Cricetulus griseus: one gene and its partners. Each later gene encodes a partner of the first gene's protein in a complex. Links are inferred from orthologs where the notes say so. Each region holds a gene or a part of one and is shown in the gene's direction. Other genes may lie near its edges.

Region 1 (3,560 bases):
CCTCTTCCTCCCCATTTCCTGTCTGTTCTTTTTTGTCTGTGCAATGCAGATTTACTAAATGCCTTTTTTAAAATTTACTCTTTGTTTGTTTGGTTTGAGACAGGATCTCATTTGGTAACACAGGTTGTCCTGTAAGGGATATGTCACTACATAGCCCATACTGCACTTGAACCCATAGCAATCCTCCTGCCTCAGCCTCATGAGTGCTGAGATTATCTTTGTTTTTTTTTTGTTGTTGTTGTTGTTTTTGAGATGGGTGGCTCTTTATATAGCCGAGGCTGGCCCTCAAACTGAAAATACTCTTGCCTCAGCCTCCCAAGTGCTGGGATTATAGCTGTGCACCACCATGCCCAGCTCTTAGTGTCTTTATACATACTATGTTCTCTGCTACCCTTGAGACTTCCTACTTCTCTTGTTCTGTATCTTTGAACTCATGGCCTATCTTCTTGTTCCTGCAGAAGGACTTGGGGGAGCGCCAGTCTGACAGTCTGGAAAAGGTTCATCAACTGTTGCCACTACCCAAGCAGAACCGAGATGTCATTACCTGTGAGCCACAGGGCTCCCTTATCGACACCAAAGGCAACAAGATTGCCGGCTTCGATTCCATCTTCAAGAAGGAGGCATGTTCTGTTGTCTTGCCATGCCCTCTACCCCCTAGCACCCCATTTTCATTTCTGATCTCACAATTCCAGCTAACACACTGAGTTCAGGAGCCCATTAGGCTCTCCTCAATAAAACCTACAGACCACCTGGGCTTTAAGCAAATCACTTAGGTTTCCTTGCACTTTATCTCCCCTTCTTTTGTAATCTCACCCTTTTCTTGAAAACTGCTCTACCTCCACCTATCTCTTCCTGACCCTCTCCCACTTTCCCTCCCCTCTGCCCCACCTCTTTTCTTGTCCTCTTACCGCTCTGCTGACCCCTGCCTCTTTTCCTCATGTCTCTCTACTTGCCCAACTCTACTTCCCTTTTTTCATGTTGGCTTCAATATTTGGATTAAAAACATTATATGTGCATATGTATGCCACTTATGTGTACAGATGCCCATGGAGGTCAGAAGTTGGATTCCCTAGAGCTGGAGTTATAAGTGATTGTGAGCCGCCTGATGTGGATTCCAGAAAAATAATAATAATAAAAAAACCTAGGTCCTATGCAAGAGCAGCAAGGGCTCTTAACCATTGGTCTATCTCTCCAGCCCTTAGTTTCAGTATTTTCTTGATTAAATGTATTACTCTGCATAGAAGAGGGAGAAAAGGGAATACAGAGTTTCAAATGCAAAGTGAAACCCCTTTGTGTATACACTCTCTTGATTCCTTTCTGCATCAGTGTGTCTCTCTCTCCCTCCTGCCCTCCCTGTTTCTCTACCCCTACTCCTCTGTCTTTCTCTTCTCTTTCTCTGCCATCTTTAGTTTTTCCTTGCCTCTCCTCTCCTTCCCCTCCCTTCCCCCTCCTCCCCCTCTTCTCCCCCACCTCCCTCTTATCCCCCTCCCCTCCCTTCCCTTCCCTTCCCTTCACTCTCCCTCTTCTCCTCCTCTCCTCTCCCCTCCCCTCCCCTCCTCTCCTCCTCTTCCCTCTTCCTCTCCTTTCCCCTTTCTGCTCCTCCCTCCCCAATGGTTTCTTTGTGTCCCTCACATTTTCTGTCAGCCTCTCCCCTCCCCAGCACCTCTGTTTCCCTGTCTGCTCCTTCAGTACCTCTTTCTGTCCTGGCGTTACCTTTCCCCTTCACGCCTTTCTCCTGCAATTCAACTCTGTGCCAGCAAAAATGGTCTTTCCTGCATATGTCTGTGTCAGTGTTTGTCTTTCCTCTTCTCATCATGTCCCCTGATCTACTTAAAAGTCTTTCCTTGTTTGAAAACTTGTCAACAGATATTTTACTCTTTCTATAAGTTCTCAAGTCCTGCCTCCTGTTTCCAAGGCTCAACAGCTCATTGTTTTCTCATTTTCTGGAGCAGGGTCTACAAGTTTCCACCAAACAAAAGATCTCCCCCTGGGATCTTTTTGAGGGCTTGAAGCCATCAACAGCACCACTCTCCTGGGCCTGGTTTGGCACAGTCCGAGTGGACCGCCGAGTGGCACGAGGGGAGGAGCAGCAACGGCTGCTTCTCTACCACACACACCTGAGGCCTCGGCCCAGAGCCTACTACCTGGAACCACTACCACTGCCCCCAGAAGATGAGGAGCCACCAGCCCCTGCCCTACTAGAGCCTGAGAAAAAGGCTCCTGAGCCCCCCAAGACTGACAAACAGGGGGCTGCTCCTCCCAGCACTGAGGAGCGCAAGAAGAAGTCCACCAAGGGCAAAAAACGCAGCCAGCCAGCCACCAAGTCGGAGGCTAGTCCCCCATCCCTACCTACCCCCTTCCTAATTTTGTGTGGTAGGGAGCTAAAGTTCCTGGTTTAAGGGAGGTATGGGGTACATGGGGAAGGGGTGCCATTAGAATCGTGATAATAATGTATCAGTGCCACTCCTGCTTACACCCTTCTCCCTCCTTCTCCTACCTCCCGACCCCCAACTGCTGTAACCTTTGTCCTCTGCACCCATGCAGGACTATGGCATGGGCCCAGGTCGGAGTGGCCCCTATGGTGTGACAGTACCTCCAGACCTTCTGCACCATGCAAATCCTGGTTCCATATCCCACCTTAACTATAGGCAGAACTCCCTAGGCCTGTACACCCAGAATCAACCACTACCTGCTGGTAAGTGCTAGTCACTACGAATGGTGGAGTTGAACATTCCTCCCTCTCCAGGGGAGATGTGGATGGCTGGAACTGTATTTTTTAACAGGCTGAAGGGATGAGGATCTCAGAGAGGTCAATTTGCTCTCCTTTCCAGGTGGCCCTCGTGTGGACCCCTACCGCCCTGTGCGATTACCAATGCAGAAGCTGCCAACTAGACCAACTTATCCTGGTGTGCTGCCCACAACTATGACTACTGTCATGGGCCTTGAACCCTCATCTTATAAGACCTCTGTGTACCGGCAGCAGCAACCCACAGTGCCCCAGGGACAGCGCCTTCGCCAACAGCTCCAGGCAAAGATAGTGAGAGGGGCAGTAGGGAGGACTGTCAGGGAGAGGGATTTTGGTGGGTCACAGGACTGAGGAGATACTTGGGAACTTCACAAGAACATGCAGGGTAGAAGGTATAAAAGAGACATGACAGAAAGCATTTCCTGAATTTGACTTCTCCTTTTTCCCTTTAGCAGAGTCAGGGGATGTTGGGACAGTCATCTGTCCATCAGATGACTCCTAGTTCTTCCTATGGTTTGCAGACTTCCCAGGTAAGTGCCTAAGACTATGAACATAAGGGAGAGGGGAGCAAGCTGCTTTACACACTCATGCCCCAGCTCTGTCTCGCATCCTTCTCTCCAGGGCTATACTTCTTATGTATCACATGTGGGATTGCAGCAACACACAGGCCCTGCAGGTACCATGGTGCCCCCCAGCTACTCCAGCCAACCTTATCAGAGCACCCACCCTTCTACCAATCCTACTCTTGTAGATCCTACCCGCCACCTGCAACAGCGGCCCAGTGGCTATGTGCATCAGCAGGCCCCAACGTATG
Region 2 (4,250 bases), on another chromosome or scaffold:
GAAATCCCCTCTATTCCCCAAAGTTGTATTAAAAGTAATTTATTGGGAGAGTACTCTCCAGTGGTACATCTTTTTATAAGACATCCATGCGTGGAATAGGAGTTTCCAGTGATGTGGCTGCCCATGTCACCATGCTGCTATAAGTAATTATAATAAACTCATTGGTTCACCAAGCTGCACTTGAATGGAATCCTTTATTTAATCTGTCAATGCCCTCTGTTTGTGGTATGTAAACGTTAATTTACATCTCCCCAAGGAAAAATCATGTGACAAGTTATCACCAGCCACAATGTATAATTTTTAAAAATCATGGACTTAACTTCAGCTGAAACTCTGAAGTTTCTGGGAAAAAAAAAAAAAAACATTGATAGCATCATGTCCTTAGAATAAAGGAGAAATTATTGATAACAAGACAACAACCACAACAAATTCAAAGTATCCATGAAAATTAATCTACAATGAAAGAAATGTTTAATAAAGTAAGAAAATATTCCAGGACTCAGGTGGTTGAGGCAGGAAGATTTTGAGTTCCAGGCTAACCTGGGCTATATAGTGGTCTCTGTTTAGCCTACTTAGACTACAAAAGACCCCATCTTGAAAAGAACCAAAGGAGAGAGGAGGTGAGAAGAAAGGGAGGAAAATGGAGGGGAGGGGAGAGACTAAGGGAGGGAGGAAAGAAAGAAAAAGAGGAGGGGATAGAAGTGTTATCCGAGAGCACAAACTAAAGCAAAGAAAAATGTTGTCTATATAAGATGAAAAACTTGAATACAGGATGTATTAGAACCACAAATAAGCTTATGAAAAATTATATGATTGACAGTAGACAGAAGATGTAAACAGTCCAGTCATAAACATCAAGGATGTGACAAACGAATGGTAGTATAAATAGAGAGTGCTTTCTGGATTTAGGGCAGTGTGGTTGAGCAGCTGGCTGCATAAATTTTCCAGGGCGATGCAAAATAGTGTTTTTAATCATGTGCTTAACATCACCAATCAAAATTAATTAAATTAATAACAATGCGCTTATTCCTTTTTTTTTTTTCAAAATTCATCGAAAGAACGTGCCCATCTCCTAGCAACTGAGGCAACTACCATAAAGAAGATAGGGTGCACGCGGGCAAGAATAAAGCGGTATCGACTCTTTCAGATGGTCAGTCCTTGACAGGCATCGCTTGGTTTGGCTGCAAAAGAACTTAAAATATGACGCAGCTCCGTCTCCAGCCAGGAGGTGGTGACCAAGGCAGCAGGTCTCATATCAAACAAGGTGCGCTTGTCAGCTTGCGGGCCACCTCAGCTTGCGGAACCATCGGGTAGGGCTACAGATACTCGGAGTGGTTGTAATGAGAGCGCACCGGGCCCTTCCGAGCTTCCGGGCGGGCTCTCTTTAGTTGCGGACCTCTGAAGGAAGCGAGCGAGAAAGCCGGGCTTCCTTCCTGTGGTTCCTCCCCTTGGCACCTTTCTTCCCGGATCGAGGGGTTTACCCGCGCCTTGGCGGGCACCCCGGGAGCCCGGGGCTCGATGGTAACGATGGAGACGCAGCTGCAGAGCATTTTCGAGGAGGTGGTGGTGAGTGCAAATGTCCGTGACCAGGGGGAGAGGGGGTGGGGGAAGTAGGGAGGAGACTGCGGCCCGGCTCTGGGCCTGGACCAGGGCCGGCTCCTTTCCCGCCCCCTTTGTTTGTTTTGACATTGGAGTCTATACTAGGGTTGGCGATCCCTGGGCAGCTGTCAGATTCAAAGAAAGCATCGTTAGTTCCCGCGCGTTCCTGATAAAAGTGACTTGTTCTATATTGCCCTAAACTATTTCTCTAGGGAACACCTCCCACCCCCTTTTGATTATTCAGATCCTTTACTGTATTTTGTTTGTTTGCAGAAAACAGAAATTATAGAAGAGGCTTTCCCAGGGTGAGTATGAGGCAGGCAGGATTTTTGTGAGATGTATCTTTGTAAGATTTTACTTACGTTGGTTTGGGGGAGTTGCAATAATTGCAAGTAATGTGATTTTTGTTTTTTAGCATGTTTATGGATACCCCTGAGGATGAAAAAACAAAACTAATTAGCTGTTTGGCAGCCTTCCGACAGTTTTGGAATGGGCTTTCTCAGGTGAGACATTACCTATGTAACAGCCAGTTGATGACTTCTGGTTCCTTCTTACTTTTTATGTCCACATTGACCTTTTTCTTAAGATCATTTAGGAATAGGAAAAATAAAATTGCCATCATTTTACATTCATATCTTTTTTTGCCACCCCCAAGACAGGGTTTCTCAGTGTAGCTTTGGAGCCTGTCCTGGAACTTGCTCTGTAGACCAGGCTGGCCTCGAACTCACAGAGATCTGCCTGCCTCTGCTTCCCAAAGTGCTGGGAATAAAGTCATGCACCACCACCGCCTGGCTACATTTATTTCTTTACTGCAGAACCTGCATTGAAAGTTCAATGTAATAAGATCCCAGTGGGAGATGTTTTTTTAAAAAATTTCTTTCATGTTAGATTATATAAGACATTTTATTCTATTTTGATACATTTGCTTTCCACATGGAAACAGATAATGTTAAGCATTTCTTGTAAAAGAAAAATGTCACGGTTGAAAAAAATTACCCAGGATTTATGAGTATACCCTCCTAAAGATGCTGTAATAGAGTCCCTGTTAGTACATTATCTTCTCATGGTACACTAAACATAGGGAAGTGAGCTACTGAGCTTTTGCCTCTGAGCCAGTGGTAATGTTTGCCACCCTAAAGACAATATGTTCTAAGTTTATTTTCAAAAGGTAGTACTTTGCGTGAATCAGAAAGCAGAAGAGTGGCTCCAAAGGCTGGTTTTCTTCCTTTTCTAGCTTAGCTCCCCCCCAACCCCCGTCTGAAGCTAGAATCACAGTTGGTGGTCCCTGAACTGTTTATCTACATATGAGACTGTGTCTGTCTATGTCACCCCGCCTTTGTCTCCTGAGTTCTGGGATTACAGAGTCGTCTGCCATCACAGTGTGCTTTTTCTCTTTTAACAGTGCTGGGAATACGGGGTTCCTTCCACATGCTAGGCATACGCTCCTCTCTGAACTGCATCCCCAGCCTCAGAATTATATTTTTATTTTATAGAATCACCATTTGTATACACCTGAAAGATGGTCTTGATATCAGCAAGACTTTTGGTGTCAGATTTTAATTATGAAGACCTAGAAATTAGATTTGTGTTTGGAATCATGGCAGGCTCTGATTAGCCTTCATGGGGACTGTATTCATCTAAATTTTGATGAGGCTGAGGTCCCCACCTAAGTTAGGTTCTTTTCCTCCAGCAAGTGGAATATTTATATCACCTTGTAAAGATGCTGCTTAGAGTAACTTAGATGAGTTTCTATTGGCCGTGAATTTGCTAATATAATCTTAGCGGCTTTTGGAGGTCTCATGGTAGGAGTTTAATTGAAATATTTAAGAATCAGTGTAACAAATACTAATTAAATCTTTATTTGGGGGCAAGGTCTTGCTAGATATAGCTCAGGCTGACAGAACTCTATATGTAGCCCAGGATAGCCTCACATAGACGTCATCCCCTCAAGTACTGGGTTTACTGGCATATACTACCATGCCCACAGTTGAATCTGACTTGAATCTTGCCCTTTTAGGAATTATTTTAATTTACTGATGTTCACAGTCCAATATTTTATTTACGGTACTGATATATCCCCTGGTATGATATTAACCATTTCTGTTCCTTAGAAAATGTAACTTCAGGCCTAAAATAAAAACTTTTTCTAATTTTTAGGATTCTCATGAACAATGCATCCAGTGGATTGTTAAATTTATTCATGGCCAACACAGCCCTAAAAGAATTTCTTTCCTTTATGACTGCTTGGCAATGGCAGTTGAGACTGGCCTCCTTCCACCCAGGTATGTGTGGGTGGGGATGACCTGTACAAAGACCTTCCCTCCAAAAGAGGCAGAGTTGATTTGAGGTTGTTGTACAGAGATAAGAGATGGAGAGGGGCCTGGGCTCGTTAGTAAGTCAGTTTAAAAGTCGGTTATTTTTGGTTTCAAATTTATTTTGTTTTTGATGTGTATGCATCTGCGTTACTAGTTGCTATGTTTATAGGAATGCCTGAGAGGCCAAAGTGGGTGTCGGATCCCTTAGAGCTAGAGGTAACAGGTAATGGGAGCCACCTGGCATGGCTTCTGGGACCTGGACTCGGCTTCTTCGAGAAAGTGTGAGCTCTGAACTGCTGAGTCACCTCTCCAGCTTGTTGTTTAATTTTCATAGTG
Region 3 (4,340 bases), on another chromosome or scaffold:
TTTTTTTTCATTAATCTTTAAAAATGTTGCATTACGCTGGGCGTTGGTGGCACACGCCTTTAGTCCCAGCACTCGAGAGGCAGAGGCAGGTGGATCTCTGTGAGTTCGAGGCCAGCCTGGTCTCCAGAGCGAGTGCCAGGATAGGCTCCAAAGCTACACAGAGAAACCCTGTCTTGAAAAACCAAAAAAATAAAAAAATAAATAAAAATGTTGCATTACAAGTGTTATTAGAGGGCTGGAGAGATGGCTCAGAGGTTAAGAGCACTGCCTGCTCTTCCAGAGGTCCTGAGTTCAATTCCCAGCAACTACATGGTGGCTCACAACCATCTGTAATGAGATCTGGTGCCCTCTTCTGGTGTGCAGATATACATGGAAGCAGAATATTCTATACATAATTAATAAATAAAATCTTTAAAAATGATTAAAAAAAAAAAAGCCGGGCAGTGGTGGCACACGCCTTTAATCCCAGCACTCGGGAGGCAGAGGCAGAGGCAGGTGGATCTCTGTGAGTTCGAGACCAGCCTGGTCTACAAGAGCTAGTTCCAGGACAGCCTCCAAAGCCACAGAGAAACCCTGTCTCGAAACCTTTCCCCCCAAAAAAAAAAAAAAAAAAAAAAAAAAAAAAAAGCAGCAAGTGCTCTTAACTGCTGAGCCTCTCCCCTATTTATTTATTTTTGAAAAGTCTCACAATGTTGTTTAAGTCTTGAACAGTTCTGCTGGAGAGATTCTTACCACAGCCTTCCGAGTTCTGATTCAGACTGTGCCTGGTCCCCTGCATTCATTCATTCATTCATTCATTCATTCATTCCTTTATTTGGTTTTTCAAGACAGGTTTTTTCTGTGTAGCTTTGGAGGCTGTCCCGGAACTCACTCTGTAGACAAGGCTGGCCTCGAACTCACAGAGATCCGCCTGCTTCTGCCTCGGGAGCGCTGGGATTAAAGGCGTGCGTCACCAACGCCCCGCATGGTTCCCTGTACGTAAAGTTGAGGTTTGTACAGGAAATTATACAAGTTTGCTGTTGTATTAAGTTTGCACAGGCCAGGGAAAGGGTCTAGCACTGAGCTATTTCTCCAGACCTTTGAAAACACACAAAACATTCAGTGTTAGCACTGAGGCCCATACAGGCACAACGCTGTGCTTAGCTGGGGAGCGCATCAGACCTCTGTCACCTTGAGCTATCTGATGCTATCAATGCGGCTCTTTCCCCAGTGGCTCAGTTCACAATTTAAACATAGTATCCAATCAGTTTGGAGAGATCTGATCAAGACACCCAGGTCGTCGGAGCTGTGGGGGAGAGCGCCACTTATCCTAGAGCTGCCCTATGACGTAAGGCCCTGCAGTTATCCCCAGCGCACCGCTCCAGACCAGGACCCCCTCGCAAGGCAGCGCCGCACTTCGCACATGCGCTCTTGCCCCCGGTGCCAGGAGGCAGGCTCATTCCTGGCCCTCTCGGCACCCTTACTTCTCGGCGCTTCAGGGCCTAGGTTTCCTGTCCGTCAGCTTCCTGCCGGAAGTGCGGAAGGCGGATGCCTGCATCTTCTCTGGCGGGATTTTGGTATCTGTGGGTGCGAGTGTGCAAGCGTGGACTTAATTCCAGCTTCGCGGGGAGCTGCGGCGTGCACGGAGGCGTGTTGCTAGTGTAAGTGCACACGTGCCCGGGATCCCGGCGTGGGAGGACCGGTGCCGTCACTTTAGTCACGCTTCCCGCCTGGCTCGTTTGAAAAGGGGAAAAAGGCCGAGCCCTGTTCCAGGCGGACCCCCGTGTACCCTGGCGCCTCTCCCTGAGTCTCCTTGGCGTCCGCCTAGGGTGAAGGTCCTTAGGTCGCCTTCGGATCTTCTGTTTTGGGTTTTTAGAGGTCTCACTGCGATTCCCCGGTTGGCCGGAACTTGCTAGGTAGACCAGTCTGGCCTCGAACCTGCAGCCGTCTTCCTAACTCTGTTGTCGAGCGTTAGGATTACAGATGTGCCCCAGCACGGCCAGCTTTTATTTATGTTTGCAAACGGGGCCTCTGTGTAGCCTAAAGGTGACTCTACTTTTTCTGAATTTAGTTGTATGTCGGTTGTTTCGTTTGAGCCACGTAGCTGGGGGAGGGAGGCTGGGCGGTTAAATGCCCCTAGTCTTATTTAAAAGAGTAAGTTCCAGAAAAAGAGGTTGCACAGCTGCCTCAAGATTACCTAGGAAACTTAGAGGGTTCAGAATTTGAGATTAGAAGGTTACGCCGTATCTCCGTGGCCAGAACCCTTGTTTCTGTGTCGCCTGTTCATGGAGCGGGCTGTATAAATAAATGCGAAGTTCTGAATGCCTGAGTCTTGATTTCAGTGCCGGAGCCACGCTACTAACCGCTCCAGTGTACAAACAAGTGTGACTCTTCCAGGTGTATCCCGTGTTTACCTGACCGTCACCATGGAGGCCCCTCCAGTCACCATGATGCCAGTCACTGGGGGCACCATTAACATGATGGAGTACCTCCTGCAGGGTAAGTGAGCCAGGGAGCTTGCATTAATTGCCAAGTTTTTCCTTCCTTCCTTCCTTCCTTCCTTCCTTCCTTCCTTCCTTCCTTCCTTCCTTCCTTTTCTTTTTTGGTCAGAGTAAGTAGAGATAAAGCTAACAAAGTCAACCACACAGTTTCTGTCTCCCTGTAAGTATGTTTAAAGGAGGTAGGGTGGGAAGGTTGACTCAGTGGCCAGAAATTCACCACACAGACCAGTCTGGCCTCAGGTACCTGGGTTTAACGAGATGCACCATAAACAATTGCCTTTTCTTTTTTCTTTTTCTTTTTGGCTTTTCAAGACAGGGTTTCTCTGTAGCCCTGGCTGTCTTGGAACTCACTCTGTAGACCACGATGGCCTCAAACTCCCAAGTGCTGGGATTAAAGGTGTGCACCATCACCCCCCTGCTTCATTTTCTTTCATCTTTACTTTTTCTGCCTCTCGACTGACACTGATCACCTCCACACCTTGTTTTCTTCATCCACTGCTTAGATGCCCCAAAGAAGTGAAATGACTGGTTTGTGACAGGTTTCTTTTACTTGGCATTATATCCTTGACAGAATTATGTCTTATATTTACATGGTTTTTGTATTTTTGGAAACAGGGTCTTAGATAGCCCTGGACTCCTTATTAGCTAGAATTGCAGACCTAGGCTACCAGGCCGTGCTAAGTTCCTGTTTCCGAATCTCTATTCTGCACTGAGTATCTCAAGCATTGTATCTACTTACTTGACTCTTAGGGGGTAGTTTGTTTGCTTGTTCGTTTGGTTTTGGTTTTGAAGACAGGGTCTCACTTTATATATATCCCTGGTTGGCCTGCAATGTAAACCAGGCTGGCCTTGAACTCATAGACATCTACCTGCCTCTGCCTCCCAAGTGCTGGGATTAAAGGCGTGTGCCACCACCACCCGGCTTTTGCTTGAGTCTTGTAATGACCCCTAAATTTTATTTTATTTTTTTTAGCTCTGTCCTAAAGCCCAGAAGACAGAGATAAAGGCTCAATGATAAAACAAGACCCAAAGAGAATGCTGACTTTTTTAGGAGATCATACAATATATTTAGTAGGCAGAGTTAAGCTTTATTTATTTTTGAAATGTGTGTGTATGTGTATATACGCACGTGTATACAGGCGCTCTTGCATATTTTGTGGGAGTCATTTCTCTGCCACTGTGTGGGTGGGGGATTGAACTCAAGTCCTCAGGCTTGATATTTGTACTGGATTTAATTAGATTTTTCTATTACATTTTATTTGTTTGGGAGCGGCCTTGTGCTTGCCACAACACACCTGTAGAGGTCAGGGGACATGTGGGAGTTAGTTCTTTCCCTTCATTAGGTGGGTATCAAGGATTGAACTCAGGTCATCAGGCTTGGCAGCAAGCACCTCTACCCACTGAGCCGTCACATTGGTCCCTCTAAAATGTTACCGAGTAAACATTTAATTTTTGTCCTTGGGCAGTTGTCCTTTATCTTTGTATTTATTTGTTTGTTTGTTTTTATTTGTTTACTTATTTTTGGTTTTTCAAGACAGAGTTTCTTTGGGTAGTCCTGGCTGTCCTAGAACTCACTATGTAGACCAGGCTGGCCTCCAACTCGCAGAGCTCCATTTGCCTCTGCCTCCGAAGTGGCAAATATCTTTCATTTATTTGTGTGATTGCCTGTTTGGGTTTATGTGTATCATGTCCATGCCGAGTCCAGAAGAGGGCGTTGGATCCCCTGGACCTGGAGTTACAGACAGTTGTGAGCTGCCTGATGTGGGTGCTGGGAACTGAACTCTGGTCCTCTGCAGGAGCAGTAGAGGTTCTGAACCACTAAGCCATTTTTCTAGCCCTTGAGTCTTTAACAATTCTACT

What was found.
Region 2: Med12 (region 1) and Med23 share a complex: the UniProt entries of both Homo sapiens proteins name them as parts of the mediator complex. The link is inferred for Cricetulus griseus from reciprocal best matches to the Homo sapiens genes MED12 and MED23.
Region 3: Med12 (region 1) and Med18 share a complex: the UniProt entries of both Homo sapiens proteins name them as parts of the mediator complex. The link is inferred for Cricetulus griseus from reciprocal best matches to the Homo sapiens genes MED12 and MED18.

Annotation. Positions count from the first base shown.
Region 1 is NC_048604.1:68,958,992-68,962,551, reverse strand, and holds part of Med12 (mediator of RNA polymerase II transcription subunit 12), read left to right. Parts: intron 1-458; coding exon 459-620; intron 621-1,952; coding exon 1,953-2,330; intron 2,331-2,544; coding exon 2,545-2,695; intron 2,696-2,831; coding exon 2,832-3,037; intron 3,038-3,198; coding exon 3,199-3,276; intron 3,277-3,367; coding exon 3,368-3,560. UniProt on the Homo sapiens protein: Component of the Mediator complex, a coactivator involved in the regulated transcription of nearly all RNA polymerase II-dependent genes.
Region 2 is NC_048595.1:244,044,906-244,049,155, forward strand, and holds the start of Med23 (mediator of RNA polymerase II transcription subunit 23), read left to right. Parts: upstream 1-1,396; 5' UTR 1,397-1,518; coding exon 1,519-1,566; intron 1,567-1,872; coding exon 1,873-1,904; intron 1,905-2,014; coding exon 2,015-2,102; intron 2,103-3,756; coding exon 3,757-3,881; intron 3,882-4,250. UniProt on the Homo sapiens protein: Required for transcriptional activation subsequent to the assembly of the pre-initiation complex. Component of the Mediator complex, a coactivator involved in the regulated transcription of nearly all RNA polymerase II-dependent genes.
Region 3 is NC_048595.1:20,800,008-20,804,347, forward strand, and holds the start of Med18 (mediator of RNA polymerase II transcription subunit 18), read left to right. Parts: upstream 1-1,486; 5' UTR 1,487-1,640; intron 1,641-2,321; exon of another isoform or gene 2,322-2,376; 5' UTR 2,377-2,405; coding exon 2,406-2,478; intron 2,479-4,340. UniProt on the Homo sapiens protein: Component of the Mediator complex, a coactivator involved in the regulated transcription of nearly all RNA polymerase II-dependent genes.